Astyanax mexicanus: one gene and its partners. The protein of the gene in region 1 purifies or fractionates together with the protein of each later gene. This does not show direct contact. Links are inferred from orthologs where the notes say so. Each region holds a gene or a part of one and is shown in the gene's direction. Other genes may lie near its edges.

Evidence for each region.
Region 2: the proteins of dhx9 (region 1) and hnrnpd purify together in Homo sapiens (affinity purification with mass spectrometry; 3 studies listed by BioGRID and IntAct, with this or other methods). This does not show direct contact. The link is inferred for Astyanax mexicanus from reciprocal best matches to the Homo sapiens genes DHX9 and HNRNPD.
Region 3: the proteins of dhx9 (region 1) and prpf8 fractionate together in Homo sapiens (co-fractionation; 3 studies listed by BioGRID, with this or other methods). This does not show direct contact. The link is inferred for Astyanax mexicanus from reciprocal best matches to the Homo sapiens genes DHX9 and PRPF8.
Region 4: the proteins of dhx9 (region 1) and ago2 purify together in Homo sapiens (affinity purification with western blotting; 5 studies listed by BioGRID and IntAct, with this or other methods). This does not show direct contact. The link is inferred for Astyanax mexicanus from reciprocal best matches to the Homo sapiens genes DHX9 and AGO2.

What each region holds. Positions count from the first base shown.
Region 1 is NC_064415.1:50,994,594-51,002,761, forward strand, and holds the start of dhx9 (ATP-dependent RNA helicase A), read left to right. Parts: upstream 1-5,077; 5' UTR 5,078-5,224; intron 5,225-6,714; 5' UTR 6,715-6,728; coding exon 6,729-6,839; intron 6,840-7,085; coding exon 7,086-7,226; intron 7,227-8,042; coding exon 8,043-8,151; intron 8,152-8,168. Other genes in the region: probable RNA-binding protein 46, read right to left, coding at 1-96, 1,524-1,861, 2,085-2,187. UniProt on the Homo sapiens protein: Multifunctional ATP-dependent nucleic acid helicase that unwinds DNA and RNA in a 3' to 5' direction and that plays important roles in many processes, such as DNA replication, transcriptional activation, post-transcriptional RNA regulation, mRNA translation and RNA-mediated gene silencing.
Region 2 is NC_064427.1:26,840,118-26,848,021, reverse strand, and holds the start of hnrnpd (heterogeneous nuclear ribonucleoprotein D0), read left to right. Parts: upstream 1-4,882; 5' UTR 4,883-5,119; coding exon 5,120-5,268; intron 5,269-7,090; coding exon 7,091-7,259; intron 7,260-7,870; coding exon 7,871-7,904. Other genes in the region: hnrnpdl (heterogeneous nuclear ribonucleoprotein D-like), read left to right, coding at 1-13, 120-281, 406-537, 625-736, 1,031-1,195, 1,294-1,364. UniProt on the Homo sapiens protein: Binds with high affinity to RNA molecules that contain AU-rich elements (AREs) found within the 3'-UTR of many proto-oncogenes and cytokine mRNAs.
Region 3 is NC_064425.1:24,553,047-24,560,661, forward strand, and holds the start of prpf8 (pre-mRNA-processing-splicing factor 8), read left to right. Parts: upstream 1-4,500; 5' UTR 4,501-4,610; intron 4,611-5,948; 5' UTR 5,949-5,959; coding exon 5,960-6,053; intron 6,054-6,153; coding exon 6,154-6,322; intron 6,323-6,435; coding exon 6,436-6,600; intron 6,601-6,698; coding exon 6,699-6,917; intron 6,918-6,997; coding exon 6,998-7,210; intron 7,211-7,319; coding exon 7,320-7,445; intron 7,446-7,535; coding exon 7,536-7,615. Other genes in the region: myo1cb (myosin Ic, paralog b), read right to left, coding at 109-201. UniProt on the Homo sapiens protein: Plays a role in pre-mRNA splicing as core component of precatalytic, catalytic and postcatalytic spliceosomal complexes, both of the predominant U2-type spliceosome and the minor U12-type spliceosome.
Region 4 is NC_064410.1:49,162,613-49,170,544, forward strand, and holds the start of ago2 (protein argonaute-2), read left to right. Parts: upstream 1-4,853; 5' UTR 4,854-5,258; coding exon 5,259-5,283; intron 5,284-7,674; coding exon 7,675-7,722; intron 7,723-7,932. Other genes in the region: homeobox protein Dlx5a, read right to left, coding at 1-176, 794-1,145.

The sequences.
Region 1 (8,168 bases):
TTTGTGTGATTCATACTCCACAAAAGCAAAACCACGGTTCATACTTTTGTCTGCTGCGCTGGGGTACACTATAACATCCACCACACCGTCTGTTACCTAGATTAGATTTTGAACGAGAAAGAAATAAAAATTAAATACAAAACAGCAAAGTGGCGAACAAACAGGAACACAGTAGCCTAAACAACAATCCCTGATTGTGACAATTTATCATTTATGAATTTACAGTCTGTTACAACACTTGATGGCAGCTGATGAATTACAACACAGTGCAAACGATTAAACAGGTGACCTTTTCTTACTGACCTTAAATAGTAACTGCATTTAAAAACGAGACAACAATCCTACAAAAAGTCTATACATTGTTTTCATAAACATTCCTATCTTCAGTAGGAATGGGCGAAATTGACAACAAGTATATTATAATAAATATTTCTTAATGTTAAATGCTAAATTGCAATTCCAATATCACTATAAACAAACAAAAAAAATCATTTGAAATTGTAATGTGCCCTGTAATGAGCATCAATTCATGACTATATGCAGTAAAAATGCATACTGAAATATCGGAAATGTTTTTACAAATCATATCACCTTTATTGAAATATTTGATATTGTGATATATACTGATATTAAATCATTGTACAGCCAAATTGTACAGTAGTTTTTTACTAAAACCATCAAATCTCTTAAACACCCCCCTTCGCAATAAGTCCAGTGCAAGTTTTCAAGCTAACAGCTGAAATGAAAATATTCACCTTAAACTGTTCTGTTTTACATGACATTGTTTATCTATAGCAAGTTAAGATTTATCTTGCTTAAATCTGTATTTTCGGAAAGCTAATGAGGCAAAAAAACGAAGCCCACTTTCTATTTATTACACTCAAAGAAGCTTACAAAGCACTTTACAGGAGATCGATGTGAGATATGACAAACAAACAAATAGAGGTAAATATTAATGCACCAAATACTGGCAACCAAAACTAAAACTAAAAGTACTGAATAATTTATAGCAAACAATAGCTCATTTATTGTAGGTCATATTGCAGTGTTTCCTTTAGATTGCTTTACTTTCAGAAAAGACATCAAAGTGTCTCTGCTAGGATGTTAAAGCGTTTTAATTATCTTTTTTCTGAAAAGTATCTATAAAATAAATTTAGCCTTTTGAGAATAGTGGCAAAACATATACATATAAACCTATAAAAAGGGAATTAGGTATTTTGTTCAATTTCAGACATGTTCAGGCAGACAAATTTCCATTACAGTGCATCATTAGTGGCAATAAAGCATGTACCCAAAAACATACAAGATTGTAGGATCTGGTAATCCTCTTTTTAAAAAAATGGAATAGAGAAAAAATAGAATGGCTTGTGGTTTTCAAGTACTGAACTAAAACTCTGTTTTCTCCAAAATTATGATGGGTAACATTTTAACTTTAAACAATGAACTATAATCCATACATGATTGCATATTTACCATAGATAAATAAAACCAAAGCTCTCTCTCCTAACTTCTAAATCACTGACCTTCATCATTTCCTCTTGTATCTCCTCCTTCTTCATGTCTTTTGGAATGGACCCAATGAAGAGCCGACAGTTGTTTAGACTCACACACACTCCTATAAACTTCCCGGGACGGATCTCATAGTGGTCAAGCAGATAAATGGCTTGCTGCGCAGCTTCTGGAGTGGTGTACCTGACAAAGGCATAGCCACGGTTTTCCCCGCTAAACTCCATCATCAAGCGGAACTCATAGATACAACCTGCACGTTCAAACAAAGGCACCAGCTCGTCTTCATACATGTCCCTGGGAATTTTCCCCACAAAAATCTCACAGCCTCTCGGAGGAGGGGGACCTTCCCAGTCTAGAACACAGAATCATATTTTTGTTCATATGAGACATTTGAATAGTAAAAAATATTTTAGGAATGTTATACATATTAATATATTGCATTTGAAAGCAAAGGCTAGTAACTCAACATTTAACCACAGGTGCAAACGAGCTAACTCCTGTTCTTAATCCCACATCAAGAGGTTTTATTTATTTATTTTTATTTTTTAGGTTACTAAAAATCATTAAATTCTTACCTGGTGGTGGACCCCCAAATTTCCGTTGACCATTTTCTTGAACCATACCGTAACCTGTTTTATCCATTAGGGCCAGAAGATTAGCTATCTTTGGGCTTTCCATCTTAATGTCTTGGTGAAGATGACAAACACAGCCTTCTTCCCCTAGCACCTTAGAAAATACAACAGAAACGTCAATTAAGTACACACAGTACTTAAGCACTCATAATCATTTTTAATAGTTTAATATCAAATAGGTAAACATCCATTTAAGAACCAACAATACAAATAAACTATAATAAGAGTTATGAGTTCTTACAGTTTTAACAAACCTACATCTGATTAAATATAATCAAATAACCATAATGACAGACAATATTAAACTGTATCGGCAAGGTAAGAGCTTTGTTTCATAGATTCTGAAATTACTTTTCAACTTTATAAATGTCAATGCATTATACAAACATGTATTCATTTAATACAACTATCTAGATCCTTTGTAAAACAGATATTTGTTAACTCAAATCAAGTACCCAGCTTATTTTTCCTTTTAATTAAGTAGATGACATAAAAATGGATATGTAAATAACTGTAGCTGTGGTATCTTATTATTTATCTGATTTATCTGATGTAGTCATGGCTAAAGTTAATTCCACATTAGTAATACCTAATAAATACTCCTGTACAAAGTAAATTTAACATGCTGTGGAAAAATAAAGTTTACCACCCTTGTCAGTATATAAAAAACATTAAAATCAATTTTTTTAATAGGATGATGCATTAAGCAATTGATAATCACAAGCCATCTGAACTGCTTGAGAGGAGAACATGCCAAGATGCATGAAAACTGTAATTAAAAACCAGGGTTATTCGCCAAATATTGATTTCTGAACTCTTTTTCTTTGCATTTTTGGGGTCTAAAAGCTCTGCATCTTTTTTTGTTATTTCAGGCATTTCGCATTTTCTGCAAATAAATGCTATAATTTTTTTTTTATTTGGAATTTGGGAGAAATGTTGTCCGTAGTTTATATAATAAAATAATGAGCTATAATAATAACTTATATATATATTTTAGTTGGAAGCATAACAGTCATGGCCTTCCTTTAAACTCACTTTTACTAAGTAAAAACTGGCTCATCTAACCCCACTCTCCCTTAGACATGTTTAAATCCACCAATTATTTCATAAAATTGACTAAAAAATGTTCAGCAGTGTCGCCCTTAGCCGCCAAGCACCGCTGTTGGCTAAGCTGAGGTAATTTAGCAACGCTAGCTAGCTAGGCTAACGCTCGTTCACTAGGTAACCTAAAGCTAACCAGCCTAGCCAGTTCTCCTAACTAGTTAGCCAGCTAACGTCAGGCACTAGGTAACCTACCTGATCACCTAGCTAACTATAATATTCAGAAATACGACACCACAGGTTATCCAACTCACCAAGAAACATAAATTCAGGCAGTTAGGAGATTATAGATACCCAATAAAATGTTCTTTATTTGAAACAATATTAGCTAAGCCACTTAATGATTTTGATGATCAGTTTAGCGAACCTAGCATTAGTTTTTTAGCTTTTAGCTATAAAAAAAACTTTATAGAAAAAAGTAGGCGGCGCAGAAATTCGCCTTTTTCCCTAAACAAGTAGCTAATTATTATTTTTTGGTTATTTGGTAGCTAACTAGTAATCTGGGCTACCTGTTCTCCAGTTTCTGTAGGTTTAAAGCTGAGATCCCCCTGGTAACTATAAACCTTAACTAACTAAAGTCCTCCAGATCAGCCAGCAAATCAGGTTCAACTAAATTAACTGAATATTAAAACCAGCGGCACACCTGCAGTCTTACCAACACATATTACATGCTTATATACGTTTATATTCTAATATTATAGCCTGTACTGTGTTCTTGCATTGTAGAAATAATAATAATAATAATAATAATAATAATAATAATAATAATAATAATAATAATAATAATAATAATAATTGTTTACATGTTCTAAACGTTTAATTATAGGAATATCAGATTATTCTATTCTATTATAGTATTTTTACTATAGATATTATAGATATCTGTAACTGTATTTCTAGTATTTTTTTTTCTAGTAAATAATGAATAATAATTAAATGTAGTAATATGTCTAGCATAAAGCTCTGAGACCATGTAAATTAATTGTAACATAAAGTATAACTAGTAAGAATAAATGTATAGATCCATAGATATGATATTATCACTAGTAAAACATTTAAAGCTGATATCTCAAATAAGAGTTTTTACAGTAATGTATACTGAGCTTGTACATCAAATTATAGAAATTATAATAATTAACTAGTCTAAAAAAATGTGACTAGAAACTAAAAGTTTAAATAGTTTCTATTTTAAATAAGACTTTTAGCAATCTAGCTTCATTCATATGGAGCTTAAAGGATGACATAATTCACGTCTAAATTTTGTATATCTGAATTTGGTTTACTTGACCTTTAATCAACGTGAAATATTTATTTTTATTTTTAAAATTTAAGATCTATCTGATTCAAAATTCAGAATTAAGAATTTAATCCATAGCTCAAACACCCAGGGTCCCCAGGAAAAAGTAAACTTGAGTGACTGAGATTTCAATTAGAAAAAAAAATAAAAGTGGATCTTTTTAAAATCAGAAAAAAAAACTGATTTTTTTTATCTGAAAATGTATGGATATAGATTTTTTTAAATTATTCAATAATTAATTAATTAATTCACATTGTTTTTTTTTTCAACAGCAAATTTTACCTCCTCAGAAGTTAGTTTAAAACACAAAAATCTAATCAAAAACAAAAATTCAAATATGTGAATCCATCTTGGTAAATGTTAAGTAAATTGAATTTAGATATAGCTTCAAAATTCAGATTGAAAAGTTTATATCAGTTTTAATCTCATAAATTAATTCACTCTATTTAATATGGGTTCTCTATCGCGGGCTTCCTCTAGTGGCTCGCAGCCTTTTACTGATCTAGCCAGGAATTTTTACTGCGCATGCGTACTATGTTTCTCATTACAAAGTGGAGCTGTACTGCGCATGTCTGGCCCGCTGACGACGCTGCGCCCTGCACCGCAGCGCTGAGATTAGCGACCTTTCTCAGCTATTTTGTGTTAATTTTCCGCTCTGTGTTTCAGCAAGATACCTGCTGAGGAGGTGAGTTATCCGGCGGAACTAGTTCTGACTGCGTGTTGAGTATTGCCAGCACCGTAAACAGTACAGTACACTCCGTCTGTCTGCACTGTGTTCTGTGGTTAGCTTTAGCTCTTTAGCAAGCGCTGTTCTTTCTTATACAGTTACCTAGCTAGTGTTAGTTAATGATGTTTTTATTGTTTATTTACTGGTGGTCCTGCAAGTATTAGTTAACCTATATTGCGCGACTTCATCATCGTGCTATTTCTGCAGTTAGTACAGTACAGTGCTGTGGTTTTGAGTTATATACTGCTATTATGTTAGCCGGTGTTTTGTCGAGTTCTTTTACCCATCAAAATGTGTTACTTTCTGTTCTGCGCATACATCGATTTAGAAATGTTAACGTTTTTATGTGAGTTTTTTTTCAAGACAATTTCTCCTGATAAGTGATTTAAATCATTTTTTGTGATTTTTGTTTAGCCAATGGAAGTATCCTTCATTTGGGCAGCTTTACCCTAAATCGACAGAACACCATTAATCTTACTAGCTAGTTAACTAGCTAAGCTAGCAAACCCAAACGTATCTGGCTGAGATGTTCTAGCTACGCTAGGCTAGCTAACGTAGTTAACCTAACGTTAGCTGGTTAAGACCTAGCTAAAAGTTTCGAGACCTTTTCTCATTCAGTTCGTTTTTTTTTTTTGTACATTGAAAAATTAATATTAAAAACTGTATTAAAGCTATACTGGAACGCCTGCAAAATTATTTTGTAAACAAATAGTGTTAAACAACTATAAAATGTTTTATACTTTAGATTCTCCTAAGTATCAAATTTATGATTTATTTTTTATTTATAAAATTTAAGACAGATCTGCACACTCTTGGAATTTTAATCTCAGCTACTTCATGAGGGAGAGTCATCTGGAATAGTTTTTTTTAGCGTCTTAAAGGAGTTCCTAGAGGTGCTGAACAATAGTTGCTGCACAATAGTTGCTGCTTTTCCTTCACGCTGGCTGTGAAGCTCCAGCTCATCCCAAATCACCTCAAATCACCATCTCAGTTCATCAGGTTTTGGTCAGGGGATTGTGGAAGACACGTTTTTTAATTACTTCGTAATTCCATATATGTCCCTTAAATGTTTTCATGTATTTAATATTAATCTACAATGTAAAAAATAAATGAAATACAGAAGTAAAGAAAAACATTGTATGATAACATGTCCAAACTTTTGGTATCTTTCCACAAACTTCTGTAATGTCACAACATTTACTATTTGTTTATTTGAGTTGCATTTGTTTTTCCAGAAGATCTTGTATTGATGATAAGAGATTGGGACCACTGCATAACCACGGTTGTTCAACAAATAAGAACCTACTGACATAATCACCCATGTAGTAATTATCCATTGGGAAGTTCCTACCTATTTGTAGGAGGTGTCATTTATTTTTTTCCAGACAGCATAGTTTATCTAAGTTTTGTGAATGATATCTAAAATGATATCTTTTGTATGTTTCCAGGGGGACTCTCAACAATGGCAGACATCAAAAACTATCTGTATGCCTGGTGCGGAAAGAAAAAATTAACACCAAACTATGACATACGAGCAGCTGGGAATAAAAACAGACAAAAGTTCCTGTGTGAGGTAAACTACACGATACCTGTTACACATTGACTGTTATAGCAACTCTGTACTTAATACTTATTATGTCTATTCTCTTGCAGGCCTGTCACCATAATTATATTGTGAATTATATTGTCTCAGAAATAATTGTTAAACTATAAAAAGCATTTTATGCTACGGACATAATGATAATGTAATGAGATTACACGTTTAGAATGTTTCAAAGATCAACATTTTTTTTTTCTCTTTTTTTTGTGCCTCATTTAGGTACGTGTTGATGGTTTTAATTACACTGGAATGGGAAACTCCACCAACAAGAAAGATGCCCAGTCTAATGCTGCCAGGGACTTTGTGAATTATCTTGTCCGTATTGGTGAGATGAGTGCTTCTGAAGTCCCTGCTTTAGGGGTAAGTATGATTTTGTTAACCATGTCAGTTTGTGCTGGACAGTATACTGGTTTGCCGATATGCGCTTTTTACATACCACTAGGCACTGGCAAAAAAGCAGATACGACCCGCTAACTAACCTAGCCAGTTAGCATAACAAGCTAACACACTGGGTTAATGGTAGCTCAGCTCTGTCGAGTCAAACGCTCTGTCCTCTCTGGAAAAACATGAGAACAGCACTTTATCTAAGGAGCTCCTGTTGCTGTTCCTTGCAATAGCAGTGTTTTTGTCTGAGTAAAATAAGAAAACAACAGCAAACAGCAATTATTTACTCAAAAAAGAGAGGAATGGAATTGAGCAACCGATCCACAGCTTGGAAAAAAGTTTCTCTCGTCCCCCAGAGGAGCCCAAAATCGGTTGTGGGTACAGAATAATTTATTCAGCACAAGTGATAAAACTCCCTAAAACTTTGGATATGAGGTGGAAAAAAAAGCTTCAAGAACTGTTAATATAGCCATTTTAAATATAATAATACTGCAGCTTGAAGAATGATGATAATGTACACAGAATTTAATTTATTTGTTAAATCGTCAGAATCTTGAAAAATACTGTGATATACATTTTTGGTCATACAGCCAAGCACTAATGTCGGTGTTACTGCTGAATATTTGCATTAATAAAGTTGAAATAAATGTTGTCATTACACTTGGCAATGTAAAATAACTTAAAAATTGGCAAAAAAATTGCATTTGTAAATGCTGTTAAGACTATATAGGTGTCTCAATTCCTATTCTTTAATATATTTATATATTTTGATGTCATCCCTCCTGTTACCAGGCCAGTGTTCCAGATGTACCTGATTGCAGCAGTTCAGAAGGTGGTGGGTTTGGAAGTCTCCCACCAAATGGCCCCTTACCACCACATTTAGTTGTGAAGAACGAGTCAGGTATGGCTACTTAATTT
Region 2 (7,904 bases), on another chromosome or scaffold:
AAGTGTGGACAGGGTGAGTTCTCTACATTGCTAGCATGGGTACATTGGGATTTATCTGTAAATTACTACAATCGTACAATAATTAAAGCTGAACAATTGAAAAATATCTGTTTGCTCAGGTTCTGGAACTGAAGGAACACAAACTGGATGGTAAGCTTATTGATCCGAAGCGAGCCAAGGCCATGAAGGGGAAGGAACCTCCCAAAAAGGTGTTTGTTGGTGGTCTCCATCCAGAAACAACAGAGGAACAAGTTCGGGAATACTTTGGAAATTACGGAACTGTAAGTAATATGAATGGCCTAGGACTAAAAAAAAAACACATTATAGTACTTGGTTTCTCCAGAAGTGTTAACTTGTATGAGTCCATGCTAGTGCTAAAGTGGTTGGCATGTGTGTTCCTAACAGATTGAAAACATTGAACTTCCTGTGGATGGTAAGACAAATGAGAGGCGAGGATTCTGCTTTGTAACGTATGTGGAAGAAGAGCCTGTTCAGAAGCTTTTGGAAAACAGATACCACCAAATTGGAAGTGGAAAGGTTGGTTTACTGCGTTTATTTACGAGCATGGCTAGTCCAATAAGGTCTAAATTAAACTTTTTTTTTTAATGTGGGTATGTTTTTTAGTGTGAAGTTAAAGTTGCCCAGCCTAAAGAAGTCTACAGACAGCAGCAGGGCAGAAGTGACCGGGGCTTTGGAGAAGGAAGAGGAGGAGGATTCAGGGGTCGTGGAAGAGGAGGTATGTAGTCTTTTGTCTAAAGCAGCAGTCAGTTGTATTTTCTGTTTTGGCTTTAGGTTTTCATTCCAACCAAGGAGAATCACTCCTCAAACCCTTAACTCAAGTCTGAAAACAACTGATCCAACAGCTGCTTGATTGGATTGAAAACATGCAGTTATACTGTTCTTTGAGGAAGAGATGGGTGCATTTACAATTAGCCAAAACAGAGAACCACTGTGAGGGAGGGTTTTGCAGAAAGTACTAAAACTGAGTTCTTCCCTCTATGATTCTAACCATTTACATTCCTTTGTGCAGGGCAAGGTCAAGGATACAACCAGGGTTACAACAATTATTACGGACAAAACTATGGTAGCTATGGCAATGGATACAACCAGGGATATAATGGCTACTCTGGGTACGACTATTCAGGCTACAACTATCAGAATTACGGATATGGACAAGGGTATGATGACTACAACAGTAAGTCTTAACTTTTTATTTATTTGTGAGTTTTGCTATTTTATTGTTACAAACATGCATTAAACATTTGACAAAATATATATATATATTTTTAATAGGTCAGCCCAGCAGTTACGGCAAGGCCTCCAGGGAGGGTGGAAATCATCAGAACAACTACCAGCCATATTGACGAAATGACATGACCTGCTAAGAGTTATGGTAAGACTGCATCTTTGGCCTTACATCTGTCCTCTTGTATACAATTTAAAGATCAATAGACACAAACTGATTATCCTAAAACAAGTGGTATGCATTATCATGCACCCCATGTTGAGTAATTTGGGGATTTGTCTATAGATCTTTAATTATAATTTAATAATGCTTGTGTTAGTGGTGTGCCTTATTTTTGGTTTTAAAGCTCTCCAGAAAAACATAAGCGTTTTTCTGTAGATTGGTTTCCATTTTCCTCCCTGCTTTTTAACAGGTGATCATAAGGAAATAAGATAGTGTTGATAGCAATGCTAACAGGTAAAGTACTGCTAAAGGGTACAAAGTAAGGGCACCTCCTTATTTTATTTTTTTCATTCTTTCCCTAATTCTGATATTGTACTTGTTTGTACCTGCCAGCGGGGGACTTCATTGCAGGCCGTGTGTCACCTGACCACGAAATTCTCTGGGCGTCGCACATAGCGGGCAGAGAGCACGGCATGCACAAGAAAACGCTGTCCTGTGGTATGGTCTCTTCAAACTTCCTGTACCAGCGTTTAAAAACAAAGAACAGACATTAAAAAGGAGATCGCTCATTTTCCCTTAAGTTGTCAATGCTTTCTTTAACAGTTTTTTAAATGAATTTTTTACAGGTATTTAACAGTGAAACCTAAGTGATTTAACTGTTTGTTGTATTCTCTTTTATTAATTTTAGTGTTCTTGTATTTCAGTTCTGGAGCATCAGTGATTTTAATTTATTTATTTTTCTTTTCGTTCTCCTATGAACGGTCTCCAATCCTGTAAACTGCAGAAACTCATAATGCTTGCTTTTTCTTTAGAACCCATAGAGAACTTCAAATGGTACACCTCAAGCTTTTCCCTTAAAACATAGCTTATAAAGATCATATGTAAACCAGTTTTATGAAGCCATAAAAAGCTGACTCATAAACTACCAACTCGAATGCAGTTACTGACTGGTAAAAGTCCTATTATATCTGATAGGATAGTGAATTATCTTTGTTTGGAAGTGCTCTGTTTTGGTGCAATTATCCACCAACCCAGTTGAGCTAAAGCTTTTCCTGGCTGAAGAGCTGCTTTCTGAAACTCATAAGTTGTACATATGATCTTTAATTTTGAATGGTGAAGTGTTTAATAGCTTAAAATCGACAGCTCAAGATGTTAAACAGAGAAACATGGAAGGTGATCATTTTAGTTAAATACTTGTTATAGAAATTATTGATTGTTGTTCTGTCTCCTCTCTTTTAGGTGAGCAGGCTGACTGAGTTTGTACCCAGGAGGCAGCTTGTGGATACCCTGTCCTTCTTAATCAAAGAGCATCTTGTTTTTAAAGTACCTTTATTTGGTTGTCATCTGTAGATGAAGACATTGAGTGTGTCTGACCTTGTAAATATTGTTTCCAAGTTTCTTATCCAGTGCGTTGATGCGGTAGAACCTGTAGGGTTGTACTGGTGTGTTCTTATATCTTTATTTGGAAATGTCATTTGTTTTTGTTGTCTTTTTCCTTCAGTTTTGGATAAAGGGAATATTAAAATTGGGGTATCAAAACAGTGACCTTGTATTGTTGCTTTCTTTTTTAAGCCTTACTGAGTTCACTCAATGTAAAAAAAGGTTTCCCATATCTGGTCCTGAAGCTCCTTGCCATGTACAAATCTTGTTTTCTTTTTCCTAAAACTAGTTATATATTTAGTCTATTTAACATAAAAAGTAGTTGCAGTGGGTGTGTGAAAGCATAAAATTTGCTAAAAATGTGTATTAGGTGCTTCTGGACCCTGAAACAAGGTATACTAAACCTTTTAGAGCCTAAAATGGGGTCAGGGGCTGTAAAAAATGTTTTGCTCCTTGGTCAGTGTAAAGTTTCAGTTCAAATTTCTAAATTTGTAAATAGAAAAGGAAGTGTAAAACTGAATTTAGTGTTTCTCCCGTTTTGTATAGTAAAGATTCATTCTGGCTTCTAGTTTATAATTTCTGCACCTCAAAAATTAATTTCAGGAAAAAATATCTTTACTCAATTCTCATTTCTTTTTCGCACCATTTTTTTTTGAGGGTGAGAAAAAAAGTATTTGCAGGAAAATTGTGTGGTTTTGGCATTTAGCCTCAAGTGGTCTTTTTTTTTTTTTTTTTTTAATGAAACAATACACAGACCCAACTTAATGTATTTCATTGGGTGAAACCCTTTTTATTCCTCACTGGTTTGAGATGTCAAGACACAGCCAGTGTCTCCTAGACATCCTAAGTTTATTACTTGAGTAATTAAACTGAAACCGCATGTATTGGTCAATAGACTACATGGTCATTAGACTAACCTAGATATTTATATAATTTAAAGATTTTATTCTCATTCCATATTATCAATAAATGGGTAAACTGGTTTCAGGCCAATCTTCAAATCCATTTAAATGGTTCTTAACTTTATTCAGAGTGAAATAAAGGCAGAATAAACACTGAGAAAGTTACACTGGCTGCCGTCGTCCTCTCCTTTCGCTCTGTGCCACCATTTTGTGCGACAGCGTCGGTGTTGTGCAGAGTTCTGCTACCCATCGATATGTGTTTCTTACAGCACTGCGCATGCGCGGACCAGCACTTTATTTTTTTAATGCATTTTTGTGCATTAAATATATCTGCTTGAATTTTAAAAAGCATTTCACATGGCAGTTGATAATAATAAAACGTATACATACAAATACTAATCTTAATTAAATTGCATTAACTTTACCCTGATACATTAATGTAGGCTTTCTAAATATACCTAATATGATACTTTTTTAAAAATAAACATATTTTAATTTATTTTTATCCAAATATGCAATGATGCAACACCTTTTCTTCTTTTCTTACTTTTTTTCGTAGCTTTTTTATATTTTTTATTTTATCTATTTTTGTGTCTACTGTAATGATGCTGCTGGAAAATTTATTTCGCAGAGGGAACCCTCCCAAAGCCATCAATAAAAATCTACCCCTCCATCTATGTATCTATCTACAGCTCTAGAAAAAGTTAAGAGACCACTTCAGTTTCTAAATCAGTTTCTCTGATTTTGCTATTTATAAGTATATATTTGAGTAAAATTAACATAGTTGTTTTTTTTTTTCGTTAAACTACGGACAATATGTCTCCCAAATTCCAAATAAAAATACTGTCATTTAGATCATTTATTTGCAGAAAATGAGAAATGGCTGAAATAACAAAAATATGCAGAGCTTTCAGATCCTAAATAATTCAAAGTTCATATCGTTCATAACGTTTTAAGAGTTCAGAAATCAATATTTGGTGGAATAACCCTGGTTTTATTGTATTTTCTTGGAATGTTCTCCTCGACCAGTTTTTATGCCACTCTTGTTCAAGCAGTTCAGCTTGGTTTAATGGCTTGTGATCATCCAGCTTCATAATTTGGTAAAATCAAAGAAACTTATCATTTTGAAGTGGTCTCTTATTTTTTCCAGAGCTGTATATACAGTACACACTAGGGTAGCACGGTTTGGCGGGGTAACACAATTCGTCAGGACACCGGTGTGTGGCAACGAGGAGTTGACAGCTGGCAAAACCGATCAACTATAGGTTAGCTAGGCTACATTCCTGCCGGGATTTAAATCAGTTTTTATTATTTTCTAAGAGAGTAGATGCAAATCTGTGTTAGCTGAGTTTGCTGGTGATTAGTATAGAAGCAGGTTAGCAGAAACATTAGTAGTTAGTTGCCAGATTCCCGTAGAAAACGACCAAACATGTCGGAGGAGCTGTTTGGCCTGGAAGACCCGAGTATGAAGATGGAGGAGGACGGGGAGGGGGGTGGAGAAGAACAGATACATGCCGGTGTATCAGGAGACGCTGAAGGATCGAAGATTGATGCCAGTAAAAATGAGGAGGATGAAGGGTAAGAAGTGGGGCTCATGATAGAGGTGGTGGAGAAGCCTGAGCTTTGTATGGTGGCTGAGCATGTAGGCTAGCTATAGCTAGTTAACGCTAGCTATCTGCCTAATAATAGCTAATAATATGACATTTATTCTTAAATAATTAGAAATATCTGTACTTTAAAGTCTGTATTTGCATCTTAAGCCTCTCTTTGGGGTGTGTATGCGATTATATCTGAGCCAGTTGTCATTTTAGCTAAAAAAAAAAAAAAAAAAAAAAGATAGTAAAAAAAAATGTTCCAGAAAGTGAAAAATCTGCTCCAGGATTTTTTTTATAGTCCAGCTACATTTGCAAGCTAATTATTCGGTACTTACTGTAAATTTAGTATTAGAGATTAAATATATCAGTACTTAAAAGTCTTTATTTTTACTACAAACCTCTACAAAGAGTCTCGGTGTGCTTATACAGCCACTTGTCCAACCAAAGCTGTTAAACCAGTCCACCAGTCAACCAGTCTCACTTTTCCCAAAAAGTGAAAATCTACTCCAGGATTTTGCTCCAACTGCCTGGTCAGCCCTGCAGAATTCGTTTCCGTTGCAGCAGGGCTGCCCTAGTTAGAACAAAATCCCGGAAAGGATCTTTACTTTCTGGAACTGGATTGTCCACATTGCATTCATTGCAAAGCTAGATAGCGAATGCTAGCAAGTTTCTACCCAATGAAACGAATTATTATTAATTTAATGCGTATATTGTGTATATATTTGCAAACTATCCCCCACAAACTCTGTTAAACAGCGTCGTTAATAATGGGAAAACTTTTATATAACGTTAATTAGCAGGAAAGTAATTAACTAAAGCTAGTTAACTAAGCTAACGTTAGTTAGCTTTATTTTACCGGCGTTGGAAACGCCAGTGAAGTCGTTGCTAAAACACAGGCGCAGCTAGATAACCTAATCTCTGCATTACACGCTATGATAATTAGATTTTTTACACGGGTTTTTTTTTTTTGCAAAAATGCGTAAATGTAGGCTAATTTGACCAGTCTGAATTTACGCCTGAATTTCAAGCTATTTTTACTTTTTTAATTTATTTGTTATTTGTTAATAACGCAAACTTAGATTAAAACATTTCATTGACAGACACGTTTTATTTTGTTTTGTGAATTTTGTGTTTCTCATATATAATAAAACCATAATGTCTGTTACTATGTGTCCTGTTTTGCTGTTTTTGGATGATTAAATTTCCTCTTTCCTCTGGGATTTGGCTTTTAGTTTATGTTGAAATTTGCTCTCCTTACAGTCAGCCTTGTGCAATCTTTCTTTTTATCTGTGGTCATTAAAAAAAAGGACAAAGAAGAAGAAACAAACATTTCACTCTATTCTTGCACCCTATTCTTCTTTTGGACACAAAAAATACCTTATTTTTTATTTAAATGTTGGAAACATAATAATGTATGCATAGTGTTAAGTTTTTGGTTATACATGGTTTTTTATTGTTTTTTTTTATTATTGTATTTTTATTTTAATTGTGAGGGTCTAGGCACCAAAGATGTTCACTTTTACACCTGTGTTAATGTCATTTAGCAATGAACCTGATTTAATTTGACTTGACAGGCTTGTAAATAAGTGGTTAAACATTTTATTTACACTTTTTTTTTTTTACACATAATTAGCTTTTTTTTTACAGCACTGACAGAATAAGAGTAGCATAACTGTGTATCCCCTTTCTCAATCACCTAAAGTTAAAGAAAATAAAATTGAAATAGCTTAAAGGCCTGCCTCCCCTATTAAAAGTATATTAATATGGAAACAGCATTTGCCATATTCTCTTTTGTCTTTTTACAGGAAGATGTTTGTTGGAGGGTTGAGCTGGGACACAACAAAGAAGGACCTTAAAGATTACTTCTCCAAGTTTGGGGAGGTTGTAGACTGCACTTTAAAACTAGATCCTATGACTGGACGATCCAGAGGCTTTGGCTTTGTGCTGTTTAAAGAGGCTGAAAGCGTGGAAAAGGTAGTGTCCTTTGTTATGCTCTTACTCATATTTTGGTCATTCTAGACCAGGGGTTACTGTTCTTTTCTGCAAGGGGTTGGAGTGGTGGCAGGTTTCTAGGGTTTAAACAATACTAAAGAACACCTCATTTAACTCTTCTCAGTAGCTAAACTGATGAAATCTGTAGAAATGGTGACCCCTTTTGCAGATCTGTAGAGCTCTAAAGCACTCAAGCCACGAAATTAACATATAACTTTATGGCCCTTTAAAGAGAGCAAACCACATTAAGTGAAGAACTAGGGCACATTGCAGTAACTGGAAAATATATTTTTTTATTTTTGTAGCTACAGACAGCCATTGTGGGCATCCGTATCAATTTTTATGTAGCGTTTATCGATATTGGGATTATATATTTGTAATAAAAATGACCAAATAAATATTTCTGTGTGCAATGTGACAATAACAGATTTTATGCTTTATTCACCTGAAACTTTGCAGAGCCCCAGAACTGAATATAAAAAACACTGTTCTTTACAGTTCAGTTTCTACTGGTTTTTGATGTCTGTATCATCTGGATTGTTTATTGTATGATATGGAACTTAAACTTGTCTACTGTCATCTGTTGATTGCAGGTAATTCAGCAGAAAGAACACAAGCTTAATGGTA
Region 3 (7,615 bases), on another chromosome or scaffold:
TTTATTATAAGTAAGACCCAGTGCTATAATCTCATAACAACAATCTATTACACCAGCTTCCAGTTCCACTACAGTTCAAAACAAGTCATTAGACATGCTCTCTCTTACCTTGGAGCAGCTGTGACAGTAGCTCTCTCCATTCATCCCTGGAGAGAGGATGATCTCCCCTGTTGGGACCAACTGAATCTTCAGCTCCATCATGATGGCTGCTGTCTCCTTGTGTTCCCTTCTTCCTCACTGACAGTGTGCCTGATCCTTTCACACCACTGTCGTTCCTCAGCAGATGCTGGAGATGGTTGGAACAGAGTAAAAACACTTTGCTATGGCCAGTAAAGTAGAGAAGTAGTGAAAACTGAGCAAATATAAGCAGTGAAAGCTAATGAGAGACAGGGTGGAGTAAGTAGTGTTACCTGCGGCAGTAAGAGAGCTACTGCCAGCTTCCTCTGTTAAGCAAGAGAGAGATATGTGGGGATGTCCGGGCCTCTTCCCAAAGCCAGCCCCAGTATAATTGATGTTCCTTCTTTGCCGCTCCGCTCAGGACGGCGAGGGTTTGCCGCCAGGGTTTCCTCCAAACTCCAGCATCCTGTCCTCGACATTCTCTGAGTAAACACCAGAGGAAGCCACGCTGCTTCCCCTTCATATACAACATTAACTTAGTCCTTACACCATACACTACTTTAAGGAAAACCTTTTTACAATTTTCCCTAAAAACTCACATCCAACATTTGTATCTACTGTTTTATAGACAGATAAGGTTGGTGGCAGGATATGGCACCATTAGGCAACCACAAGCTTTCACATTTGATAGACAGGCTTTAAATATCTCCATCTCCGCTGACCCTCAACCTGACAGGCCTGTGACCGAGACATTCCTGTTCCTGTTCCTGAGCAGCGATTAGACTTGCTTTCTTAAGCTCTCACAGATAACACAATGTTAAAACAATATTTAATGTTAAATGGTTGTGAAAATTTTGAAATGTACTCATCCTTCTGCTCTTTGAATTAGCATTTGAAATTTCATCACCATACTGTTGAATCAGATTGGTAGTGGTGGGTAACATTCTTTATACTCAGCTTTACTACAGTGATGTAAGTTTATTGTTAACCCTTTGTTATCAATAGGATTTTCTAGTTTTAGCTACGTGTAGTAATTGCTTTTTGTTTGTAATTGTACAGTTCCTACTTCTCAGAGTTGTATATTTAGAGAGAGAATAAAAATAAAAAAATTACTTTTTTTATGATGGTATACAGTTTTTATTCCTGTTTTTTTTTTATACTTTAATACAATTTTGAGCATCCCGACTGTGAGATATGGTTTATTACAGGTTGAACATTGAAACAACTTCGCCATATACACGTTTAACTGATTCAACGTTAAAATGCCAGTTGGGTACAAATTAATACTTCTAGTTATTTAACAAGGTACACACATGATAGGCTCCAGCCCCCCCATTTTATTTCAAGCCATATTTCAGACAAAACATATATTAAAGACTGAAGGGCTATAATGAGTTTGTGTGGGGGTGGGGGTGTGTGTGGTACCTATTCTTGTCAGTGATGGGTGTTCCATTAAAATATAGCACTGTTAAAAGAGGAAATGACACACGCACACATCCTATGACCTGTGACACGGCTGAGACATTCATGATTTCTGGGTATCAACAGGAAACAGCAGTTTTGACGTCCCACCGTGATGAAGTGAGCCTTGGCAGAAGCATAGCTAATGTCACTATGTGGTTTATTAAGTAAGAAAATTAGTAGTTGGCATCTCATATTCACGGTAAACCTGGGTCAACTGCATTCTTAGCTTGGTCTGAGGGATCATGCTTGTTTAAGTTGTTGTGTACTGTATATGCAGTCATGTCCTAAAGTGTTGGCACATGTGAAATTTCTCCAAATTAAAAGGATTCTACACATGTTTATTTATTTGTGTGTATTGGAACAACACAAAAAGTAGAGAAACAATGGAAAATCTTACATTATTTCACACATAACTCATCATTAAATTTGAAAATTGCCATACCAGTATAGGGAGCAGTTTCAGAATGCTTCAAAAAGCATCCAGTGTGATAAGATGGATGGAATCAAAGTGCTGGAGAGTTTTGAACTGGACAGCAATGAGTCCGGACCTAAATCCTGTTGAATACCTGTGGAGAGATCTTAAAATTCCAGTTGAGAGGTGTAAGAAGCTTGTTAATGGTTATAGTAAGTATAAAAATATGACTTTTGGAGAACATGCTTAGGTTTTAAGTTGAACATTAGCTGACAAGATTCTGAGGTTCAGTAACGCTACTCTAAAATGCACTTTGTATTTATAGGAGCAAAAGTGGCTTTAGCCTAGCACAGTTGGATTAGCTTCCTCTTATGCTAAATATGAATTTGCAGTATCTTCTGCTGATACTGTCCCATGAAAAGCCACAGTCACAATGGCCTAGTTCAGGTAGCAACCAGTTTTCTGTTAACTAAAGTCTGGTGGTGGTGATGTGCATGCTTGTCTTAGAAAACTAAATAAAGTATTAATAAACATCATACTCTCCCAGCGTGGCCAATATGTTTTACTGCATTGTAGCTTTGCTTGTGGGCTGGATGTTGGATTGGGCTAATTGGTTAGATTATGCCAGATTTCTTTTTACATAAAAAGACATCAGTATTTGACAGTGTCATTTCTATGTACCAAACTCAGCTATGCCAAGGTCAACACAGTTTTCCATTCAAGGACACTTTAAATAAAGTTTTCAAACTACATCAAACTCTTTTGTCTTAAACCAAAAAGGAAAAGGCTGTTTATCATGATGTGGGTCCTTTAACAGTGATTGCCAAGAGACATAAATGCTCATTAATAAACAGGGAAGTTGAAATGCCATCTGCTGTGTGTGACAAGTTACCCATCAAACAGAGACATCTTTGCAGGAGGAAGCACAGTGAGTGTGCTTCCTGTCCTCTCCCTTCCATCTCTTTTTTCCATCTCTGAAATGCCCACCCCAAGTATACACTTTTATAGCTCAGAGGAGCTGGTAAATCCACTCCCCTGCAAGGACACACAATTTGGGTGTTGAAATAAATGGTCCATATTAAAATTTAGACTACAGAGTTAAAAGCAGCAGGAACTTTCAGAACATACCCCTTATAAGGCTGTAGAGGGTGGCCTGAGATGGGGATGTAGAGGAATGGCATCCTGTTTGGGAGAGCTGCCAGCTGGAGGGAAATTGAGAAGAGAAGTTATGTCAGGAGATGACAGGTGAAGGGCACTACACAGCTACTAAACACTGTGGCACAGCAGCGACTATAATGAGCTGAGTGACAGAATAATTTTGAAACAGTATTGTCTATTTTTAAATTAAAGGGTCAGAATACACAATATTTCACTGTCACTCTGTTCCCACAACATTACAGTGTGTCCTACTCAGCTTCCTTTGTTGGCTTTAGTATTCTGCCCACAGGAAAAATGAGCAGTAGCCTCTACTGGGAGTGATGATGAGTGTTTGATTTGTTGCCTGGTGCAGTGCCATATCTTCCATGATGGAAACTGTGCTTAGTAACTTCATGAGCAAAACTAAGACCCATGAGGTAAGGCTGGAAAGCAATGTTATTTTTTATATAGAGGGCCCACATATTATATTGTGTATGTAATATAGTTACACAATTGCATTATGACATTGTGTAGACTCTATTTTAACCAAGACATAATAAAACTACATAAAAACAATATTCATTATCAGTAGCAAATGTTTTCATATATTTACCTTATTATATATTTAACTGGATATTTACTCACATAAAGAACAATGTATGGTCGTACAGCTTTAATATTGTAAATGTAAACTTATTTTTTTATTATTCTGTTCATTACAGGTACCTATGCCCACGAGTTGCTTTTACCGATAACGCCATCTGCTGGGGACTCTTCACATATAAATGTCTTGACGTGACAAATGTAAATTCGTAAACATATAAATTATATATAGAATTAAAATGAGGAAATACATAGCTTAAAGAAAATATTAGATTTTTTTGTTTAGTAACAACAACAACAACAACAACAACAACAACAACAACAATAATAATAATAATAATAATAATAATAATAATAATAATAATAATAGTAATAATAATAACAATAATTATTGTTATTATTATTATTATTATTATTATTATTATTAATGTTAATATTAATATTAATATAAATATTATATATTTTTTGCCTTAACTTTTTATATATTTTTTTCAAATTTATTTCTTAAATGTGCAAAACATAAACATAAAAAATAAGACATTGTTAGTTTTCGCGCTATATTTTCTTTAAGCAAAATAGTTCTTCATTTTTATTGTTTTTAATATATTTGAACATTAAATTAAATGTAAAATAAAACAACTGCGTTTACAAACTTTTAACGGGCTCCAAACGGAAACTGTATTATTTCCTCATCCGGGGCTTTGGATACGCATGTTTTAGTGGTCCTGCGTAAAGGGTTACTCCTTCTTTGCGATTCAGAGTAGGAAACTTCGCACTTCGCGGTGGTGAATTGTGTGTTGTTACGCACAACGTGTGGAATCGTTTCTCGGAGCGCCATTCTGCAGGAAACTCCGGAGAAACTCTGGGTTTAAACACAGTAAGATGTTTTTAATGCTGTATTAAACTGAGGCGTTCTCTGGGTATAGTTTTATAGATTCATATTTGCTAAATGTTTGTTTATGGGCATGCTCTGTAACCTGTGAGAGAGTTATAGCTAAACCCGTTAGCCTCGGCTCGTGCTTTGTTACGTAGTTAGCTGAAGCTAGCTATCGTGCTAAGGTAACGCTAGCTTGGTTTAATCCAAATACTATTGCGACTCGTATTAAACACAGTTCGGCTCTGGTTTATTTTTATTTTGTGTTGTGTGAGAATGCGCCTGTTGGTTACAGTTTATAGCTAAACAAATAATTTGCGGCTCGTTAGCCACTTTGTTAGTAGCCAGAGCGTAGCTGTAGTGTGGATAATGCTTTAGCGTAAGCGGGTAAATTAGTTGGCATGGCTAGCTGTTAGCTAACGCCGGCTAGGTTAAAATTGTTAGAATCCAAACAACAATAATTAGAGTTTTGCTTTCTAGTTAAACTTTTCTTCTTTCCGACGGTCACTGAAGGTATCTATTTATTTTTATATTGAATATGAGGCAATGCTAGTTAGCTTAGTTAGCTAAATATTTGTGTTTGTAATAGTTATCCAGCTAGCTAGATAATTAGTGTTACCTTAGGTTAATGTGTCCAATGTGTGTGTTAAAAGCAACAATGCAATTAAAAATGCTTTAAAAATGTTTTCAGTCTAAACTGAATTAAACTTTTTGTGTAAGTTACTTAAATGTATCCATTTGTGATTAAGACAATACAATACAATATATGTGGTGAAAAAATATTTTATTTTACTTTAACCAGTATTTAAAGACTAGGATTTTATTTAAATAGCTTAACTTGGAAGTTTTTGCAGTCCTTAAATATTGTGGTTTTCTGTTCCGAAGGTGGAGAGCAACTCCTTTCTTAGTATTGTAGAAGCTTATATAGCAAAATGCTTTTTAAGGATCTAGCTATGCTATATTGCGGTTTTATAAAAATACAAGACTCACCAGACGTCAGTGGTCCAAATTTTCATATAAAAACGTATAGTGCTCTTATTATTAATTATTATTATTGTTATTATTATTATTATTTTTTTGATGAAAATTAGAACATTATGCTTTATTATTTTTGATCCTATTCCAGGTATTCTGATGCAGCATGCAAAAAAGTTAATTTTATTATTATTATTGCAAAGCAGTGATTTAAGGGATTGTGTAATGTGGCATGTTTTATCTGATCCACAGCTCTGTGAAAGTGTGTTAAAACTGCCAGCTTTGTTCTTTCTGTTTTACATATTCATTTGTTTTGCCATTATGCCATCTTAGACCTAACTGTTCTGCATTGCTGTCTTCCAACAGTAGACGCTGCCATGGCAGCTACATTCCCCTACAGAGGTGTCCCTGGTGTTCCTCCTCCTGCCCCGGTGCCAGACTACATGTCTGAGGAGAAGCTTCAAGAAAAAGGTTTGAATGCACGAAAGCAATGAATTGTTTATTGAACGTGTGCACTATAAATCCTTGTGTTATCAGAATTCTGATACACTTTTGTCTGTTTTAATTCCAGCCCGGAAATGGCAGCAGCTGCAGGCAAAACGCTACTCGGAGAAGAGGAAATTTGGTTTTGTCGATGCTCAGAAAGAGGACATGCCACCAGAGCATGTGCGGAAAATCATTCGGGACCATGGAGATATGACCAACAGGAAATTTCGTCACGACAAACGAGTCTATCTTGGGTAAATATAGAGATTTGTGCACACTTTTTAAAATAATTGTTTAACTGCAAACTTTGTGAAAAAATTGTAACAACTGTTTTTGTAACAGATGATGTGTCTGTTTTTGTCTCTAGGGCTCTGAAGTACATGCCTCATGCAGTACTGAAACTGCTGGAGAATATGCCCATGCCCTGGGAGCAGATCAGAGATGTGCCAGTGCTGTACCACATCACAGGAGCCATTTCCTTTGTAAATGAAATTCCTTGGGTCATTGAACCAGTTTACATTGCACAATGGGGGTAAGTTACCATTGTTCCAATCAAGCTTTGTTTTTTATCAAATGTATAGATTTATTAAACTTTTGAGATTAATCACTTCTTTTTCTGTTTGACGCTAGTACCATGTGGATCATGATGCGTCGTGAGAAAAGAGACAGAAGGCACTTCAAGCGTATGCGCTTTCCTCCCTTTGATGATGAGGAGCCCCCACTGGACTATGCTGATAACATTCTGGATGTGGAGCCCCTGGAAGCCATTCAGATGGAAATGGACCCTGAGGAAGATTGCTCAGTTGTAGAATGGTTTTACGAACACCAGCCACTGAAGGATGCTACCAAGTGAGTCTTTGTCACAATCAACAAAAAAATAAATTTTAGTTTTTTACCACCTTATCTCATTATGTCTCTTTGTCTTTTAGATATGTCAATGGGACGACATACAGACGTTGGCAGTTCACCTTGCCAATGATGTCCACTCTTTATCGGTTAGCCAACCAGCTGCTAACTGATTTAGTGGATAGGAACTACTTCTATTTGTTTGACCTGAAGGCCTTCTTCACTTCAAAGGCCTTAAACATGGCCATTCCTGGAGGGCCCAAATTTGAACCCCTGGTCAGAGACATCAATCTACAGTATGTATACCTGCATTCTTTTTAAGTACACTGTACTAGATTGAATCGTCTCTCCTTTAAGGTCTTTTGAAATTTATGCATGATTTAAGTTTGCCAACTTCTGTTACAGGGATGAAGACTGGAATGAGTTTAACGACATCAACAAGATCATCATCAGACAGCCGATTAGAACAGAGTACAAGATTGCTTTCCCATACTTGTACAATAATCTTCCACATCACGTCCATCTCACTTGGTAAAAAGACCTTTCTTTTTAATGTTTCTTGTGTTTGTGATTTAAAATATAAGTTGATTATAATACATAATTACGATACTGTTTACCCAGGTACCACACTCCTAATGTGGTGTTCATCAAGACAGAGGATCCTGATTTGCCTGCTTTCTACTTTGATCCTCTCATCAATC
Region 4 (7,932 bases), on another chromosome or scaffold:
GGTGAGGCCCAGAGAAGCGGCCAGCTCGGCTCTCTCGGGCAGCGCCAGATACTGGGTGTTCTGGAAGCGCCTCTGCAGCGCGGCGAGCTGGAAACTGGAGTAAATGGTCCGGGGCTTCCGCACTTTCTTCGGTTTACCGTTCACCATCCTCACCTCCGGCTCCACCGACTCTTTTTCTACCGCACCAAACACAGAGAGGAGGAATATGAGTGATGAAGAGAATAAAGAAAAATACTATTCTTTAACTCTAACTGAGTAGAACCCAACTGAACCGCACAGAGTAAATAAGGAGAGGGTTTAGGCAACTCGATAAACGCGCACTGCGTAAACACTTTCCATTCGGGTCATATAGTAAAGTTACATAGATTAAATTAATGTACATATACCTGTATACGTGTCTACACTTAAAAAGTCAGTTTATTCGATGTTATTTACCTACGTTATATGTAATCTTAATCTTAATGCCCGACCATTTAAATTTTACCCGTTTCTTATTTATTTTTTATTTAACAAAAAAAAAAAAGAATCTAACAAAACCTAGCAACACACAGCGTACAAAGCTTTATTTATTAAAATGCTAAAATATATAGATACAAAAATGAACGTATTTTATAAGGAAATAATCATTAGAACCAAAATAAAAGTGCTCTAGTTTAATAATGATAAAAACGCGAAGGTTAAATAAGTTAAATATAATACAGACACAAGTGATAGCAGCATTAATAATAATAATAATAATAATAATAATAATAATAATAATAATAATAATAATAATAATAATAATAATAGTTACCTTGCGGGCTGGGCTGTGACTGCACTCTGCTATATGTTCCGTACTGATGGTAAGCTGAAGTGCCGTAAGAGCCGTAGTCAGGGTAAGATTTGGCAGAGTAATTTCCCGCGGATCCACTGACTCCGTGGTACTGGTACGGGTAGCTGTTGAGAGGTTTCCCATAAGAGCCCGAGTTTGGAGAACAGTAGCCGTGGTGCGCTCCGGCCGGGCTGTAGTAGCCCGCGTCCGTGGCGGTGGACTCGGGCAAGGTGGGAGACTCCTGAGGCGGGTGGTGCATGGCGGAGAGCTGGAACGCGTTCTGGAAATCTGTAGCTTTCGTACCGGGAATCCTCCTGTCGAATACTCCAGTCATGGTTTGTTTGAGTGAATATATATATATGTGTGTGTGTATGTGTGTGTGCAGTAGGCAGCGGCTGTAGCTCTGTGCAGGTCTCTGAAGTTTACACTCGCATGGTGTGTGCTCGCTCTGCTCCTGAAGACTGCTGGAAGCCCTGCAGCAAACACTTGGTTAAATCGTGAAGGGCGCCGTTACGCACTGCAGGGAGGATCCAGCTCCATTGGCCACGACGCGCACTACAGCTACTCCCTAACGCACTGAGCAAAACACTGCGGCCTGACGGGAGCAACTATACAGCGGATTTATAAACAGTCAATGGGCTAGAGACGACATTTTCTTTCTTTTTAACGTTAAAAAAAGGATTAACAGAGCCATGCTGCGTGTAAAGTACAAACCAAACGCTTTTCAAATAAGTCTTAGCATACATATAAATGAATCTACATGTTTCTACCCTTTCGTTCAGTCCTACACTACACAAACACATTTTTTTTAAAGCAGTAAAACATTTACAGGCTCAATCACATTATTTTACGTTTACATCATATAAGCCTTAATATAGTTTAAATCAAAAGCCCGGATTTGCCTCTTTATTGTTACACACGTTGCCCTTTTAGTTAATGAATCCACATCGTTTTAAATTTCTCAGGGCGCTTCATTACGGATTACAAGCTAATAGAAAATGATTTACATGTAAAAAGAAAAATAAATACAGTCACGTTGTTAAATCAGACGCCAAGTAAGATAGTATTGATTTACTAACGGTAAAGTGGCGCCACCGCGTGGTGGAGATATAATAGTCAAAGTCAAAGTGGTTTTTATTGTCATTTCAGCTATATACAGAGTACACAGTGAAACGAAACAACGTTCCTCCAGGGACCATGGTGCACATAAACACAGTGTAGACAGAACAATAGTGCAACAGTACAAAAGTGCAGACAGACAATACAACACAATACAGACAAAGAATAATAAATAACAAGACAGTGTGCAAATTATGCAGTGTGCAAAAAGTGTGCAAAAAAGACCAGTGAGGTAGTAATTACCTCTATTACACAGTGTGCAATAGAGTCCAGTGAGGTAGTAGGGTTTTTAGTGCTTTCCATTTTCTGGGGTAAGTGGGGTAAGAGTGTGTGTGCATGTACAGAAAAACCATCAGTTCAGTCTCTGCAGTTGAGGAGTCTGATGGCTTGGGGGTAGAAGCTGTTGCAGAATCTGGTCGTGCTGGACCGGATGCTGCGGTACCTCCTTCCCGAAGGCAGGAGGGAGAACAGTTCGTGTGAGGGATGAGTGGGGACATTCACAATGCTGGTTGCTTTGCGGATGCTGCGGGTGGTGTAAATGATAATTTAAATAATAATAATCTGTACTTTTAAATATTTTATGTATAATAATAATAATAATAATAATAATAATAATAATAATAATTATTATTATTATTATTATTATTGTTATTATTATAACAATAATAATATTAATAATAATAAAAAAAATACATAAATACTTTCTGCACACAGACTTCTAAATTTGAAATGACTTTAGTAAGATTTTTAACTTTTTAACAGAGTGTAAGGAGTTACCAGTTTTTTTACTGTTACTTTCTTACTTTACTTTTTAATGTGAATGATTTCAGATATTAGTAAAAAAAAATAGTAAATTTATTAAAATAAGAAAAACTACTTAATAGTAAATGCAAATAAAATATAATTTTTGAAAGAAGTGTTTTGTGTTTTTGTGTTTTTATAAATTTCTGATTAAACAATTAGATAAATAACAAAATAATTTTGACACATGCTTTCACATGCTGCTCCCTGGTGGACTATCCATGCATTACATGCACCAGACAAATACATATTCTAAGTTTAAATTTTAATTACTTGAATAATATGTTTAACATTTAAATCAAAGTATATGGACAATTGTTTGTTCTATCATGGTTTAGATTATTAAAAAAATAATTAAAAAAAATATAAATGTATTATTAAAGTTAAAATCAGCTATGCAGGGTGTAATTTGTTTATTTTATTTAATAATTGGTAAGTTTGTTTTAAACGTGGTTAGATGGTTCAAACTATAATGAGTTAAAAGCTTACAAAACTGTTCTGCTTGCAGCCTAATTTAATTGTTGCAGAGCCTCTTTATGGAGAGCTTACCCACTTCCTGTACAAAACCTTTACAGCAAAAAAATGAGCGCACACCACTAGAGGGAGCCTGAGAGGGAGTCCTTAATAAATGAGAGTAAATGAAGCTAAACGGTTAAACTTAAATTAAAAATAATAATGAACTACTTGTCCATGTTATTAATTTACTTTCAGAAAGTATGTGGAAGTATTTCGCAAAAAAAAAAAAAAAAAACAATTTTTCCATTTTTCTGTTTTTGGACAAAAGAGACACTAGCATTACTATACTGTGTGCTGACTGGTTGGTAAGCTGATTCTGGAGAGTGAAAATACAACCAGAGCACGTTTAAAGGGTTTATAACTGGAGTTTAAAAACTTTAAAAAAAAATGTGCTGAAACATTCTATGTATGTCTGTGTTGATGAATAAATGAATTCATTTTTCAGTGTAAACATGTTCAAACATTTACAAACTATGATTTTGCTCAATTGCTCTATAGAAACCCATTTGCCAGACCTCATCTCCTATTAGAAACCATCATGATTACTCAGATCACAAACTGCTGGTCTCTAGTTGTTCATTAAATTCTCTAGTTGTTCATTAAAACCCCCTAACTCTGGAATAATCTTCCCAAAAATGTTTGGGACACCTTCTCCATCTTTAAGTCTAGACTAAAAACGTACTTGATTAGTTTAGCTTTTGGTAATTAATGTTTCCCTTTAGATAAGATTGCATATTTTGGCTTTCATGATGTCTTGACCACTGCATGCGATCACTCAGGTTTGTGGACTGTGGGGTGGGTGGATGCCATTGTTTCAGGGTGCCTTTGTGTCTATGTTACCTTCTGGCTCTCTCCCTTTATTCATGCTGTTATACTCAGATCTGACACAGCCATTAGCCACACTCTGATAATGTTGCATATTGTCTTTTCTCCATAAATTCCATCTTTCTGCCTTCCTCCGAGTTACTGACTGCCCACCTATCCGGCCTGATACCGACGGATGTTCAACTCTCAGGGTCTCCTGTCACCTGTCCGGCCAGACTGGTGGAAGTCCCTGGAAGTCAGGCTTCCCTGTCACTCACCACAGTAGTAGCTCACTCCCCACTACCAAGAACATCAAAGTTTACATGAACTCTAACTAGTAATTTTCTAACTGCCTTCACTGTGATAACCTCAAAATACAAGTGCTATTTAATAAATTTTATTAGATTTGAGATGATCTTGGTCAGGTTTGTCCAATGGTGGCCCAATAAAAACTGAAGATGTTCTCAATTAAGTGGGCATTATCGCTGATTCGAATCCCGGTCATGCAGCTTGCCATCAGCTGCCGAAAGCTGATAATAAAAAAAGAAGATTTTACTTTTCTGCAATCAGAAGAGTGGGGTCTGAGACAGAGTTAGCAACATACAATGTTATAAACTATGATTTTGCTCAATTGCTCCATATGAACCCATTAATTTAGCGCTCAGTCAGGAGCGCCCACTGGTGGGCTGATAAACAGTGAAGAGGTTGTTGGTTAGGATATTTCAGTGGGTATTCTCCTCTTTAGAGAGTCTCTGAAGGCTCGGAAGTGACGCACAGCTTCGCGCAAGTGTTTACTTGTTTTTATTAATTTTCGGTCGCTTTGCATTTTTATAAACGTGCTATTTTAATATTTAAAACATAATTTTTTACTCTCTATATTTTATTAGCTCTTAGTAAGCGCTGTGGTGTAGTTTTTGCGCGGGTTTTCAGAACACCGGAGCGGCGGGCAGGCGGATGGTGCGGTTGTGGTGGTGGTGCTGCTGGTGATGGGGGAGGAGGAGGGACGGAGGCAGCGGGACCCGCGGAGCTACTTCAGCCCAGCACTCGCCTAAAACCGCGTTTTATCCTCCGAAATCTGAGATTAAACAGCCGTTTTGCACCGCAGTCTAACTATCCCGTTCTCGTATGCACTTCACCGCGGTCGGGAAGCGAAAGTGAGCGCGGTGCGAGCGGCGAGGTCTGTTTAAAAGCACAAGAACTCGCCAAAATGTATCCGAGCGGAGCAGCTGGGGGTGAGTATCGTAAGCTAGCTTAACTAAAGCTACTGAATTAAAGCTAAGCCTACCCACATAGCTAGCGTTAGCTAACTACAGGCTGTAGATTTGTATCTGCTGTCTGAAAACACCGCCTATCTGTGGCCTGGTATTTAGAAGATTTAGATTATAAACATTTGTAATAGATTAAATTATTAATCTGTAGTGTTTGAGAGCTCCTGGCTGATAAATCCGCCTGTTTAGTGAGCTAGGCCGTGCTATGTTATTGTTAGCTAGACGGCTAATGCTAAGCTAGGCTAGGCTAGCTCGCTGTCTGCGCTTGTGACTGGTTAGCTAACGAGGCTGGCAAGTGGTGGTGTTAGCTTAGCTAAGATAGCTAAGTAAGCTAAGCTAACAAACAAAGTTTCTAGCTAACCTAGCTAGATTGAGATAGCGTTACATAATTTTACATAGCTACGCCGACTACACAAACTGTAGTTTGTCGTTTGTACTAATTAAGTTAGCTTAGCTAAGTTATCTTATTACGTTATCTGTAGTTTAAACTAGTTAACCCTAGCTAAGATAGCTGTAGTTAGTTAACTAACTATAGTTTCAGTGGTCAGTTAAAGCTAGCTTAGTGATTTACTAATCTAGTTAAATAGGTCTATCACAGGTTATTTCTCTCTTAGTCTAATTAGGTTACGTTTTATTTTGCTGTGCTTTTCTGCCTAATGTGATCTGTACAGCTAACTTACCTAGGAAGTAAGTTATGTAGTACACCAATCAGTAAACAGTGTTAGCAGATCACCTTGCTTTATATTAAAAGGAAAATATATATGTTAGAAACACTAAGTTAATTATATAAAAACCGTTTATGGCTTCTCGTTTGCACCAGTTAACTAGATATAATAATTAGGGTTAGGTTTAGCTAGCTTTGCTATGTGTCCTTTCCTCACTGTAACCTAGCTAACTACAGTTTCAATGGTCAGGTAAAGCTAGTTATATATTTCTTAATCTAATTTATTTTTACTGTGCATTTCTACCCCTGATGTGTAAAGCTAGTTAAGAAGTATTTAACTTAGTACACCAGTCGAGTACACCATTTTAATGCAGAGGTTCTGATGTTTTTAGGTGAAAGTTTTTGCCCCAAACTATTTCTGGGGGATTTTGTGAAACAATGATTCTCAATATTCTTCAAATATATGAGGGATTCTCTATTTAGATTTTAGATCTTTCAATTTAAAGTGATACACAAGCTATTTTTTCCTTTACCTTTAATTTCAAAATGTTTTAGTATGAAACATGGTTCAAATATAACGTCTTTTTTGGTCAGTTAAGGAAATGTCTATCTGCTAAGATTTCTTCTGGCAGCTTCTATATGTAAATATGTACAATCTTGATTATCCCACAGAAAATTAATTAAGAGCAAAAACAAGTCAATTATTTTAATTAACCTTCCAGCCCTACCCCAAATTAAAATACAAGTTTTCAGTAAATATTGTTTGGACAGTTAAAACAAGCTAGGTACTAGAATTTATTTTGAATCTTTTTCTACCAAAGGTAATCTGTAAGGAGAATTAACGCCAGACAGCTGATTCAGTGATCCCCATTAGGTAGCTGGTTAGCCTGGTCCAGCTGGTTGTAGTTTCACTAGTGTCTACAAATTGTTAATACAAGAATATATTTGTTTTTTTTCCCCATGTAAGAACAAGCCAACCTCAATTCTTGTCTCAACTGGTGCATATTGATTATGCTCACATTAGTTTTACTGTAAGTAGCAGGTCAACACAAAATTGAATTTGTTTGAGTTCTTCTAACATGTGAGCGTAGTTCAAAGGCCAATTATTTTTAGGACTAAACTTCTACATCTTATTAAGTCTGGTCTTAGACTTAACCTGAGTGTGAGAAACCCATTCAAAGTAACTACAAATATCTTCTTTGCCCTTGCATGTTGGGAACAGGGCCAGTGCTGTTGTGTAGGTGGGGTAGACAGCCAGGCTGTTAAGTCGCTGGTGTGGTCTTGTTGATAAAGGGGTGAGAGAGTCTGCAGCACAGATCAGGATGGGACCTGCTCTTTCCTATCTTTGAAACGTGACACATTTTTGGTTTTGATAAGCTTGGTTGAGGCATTTTTGAGAATCTAGCAGCTAAAGCACATCATTGTGACAAACAAAAGTCATTTATAGTCTTGTGCAAATGGCTAGACTTAATACATACTCATTTGTAAATCATTTGAATCACTAGAAGTTAGACTCTATAGACTTATTCGACTCTCTGATAAGGGGATCATGACATTGTCACACAAACTTATTTTGTAGAAATGTCCACAAGCCTGTTTAATGTCTTGTGTAATTGACTCCACAGTATCTCAAGTTTGTCTGGGGGGCTGTGTAAATAAAAAATATAAAAATGTAATTTTGTTTTTGGTAGTTGCTGAGATGTGTGAGGGCCTTACCTCTTCGCGATCAGTAGATTCTGGTAAGCAACCATGACTCAAAGGTTCATTGTGCAGGCTAATTTCAGTTTTTTATTCAGTTTAATCAAATGTATTTTTCTTTGCTGCATAAAGAAAATGTTCATACCTGTGGCATAAGCGAATTGTGACGCCCCACTCAATTGTGGGGAATTGTGCTATAATCCAAATATAAGTTATTTAATATTGAGCATCAGACAATGACAAGGTGGGCC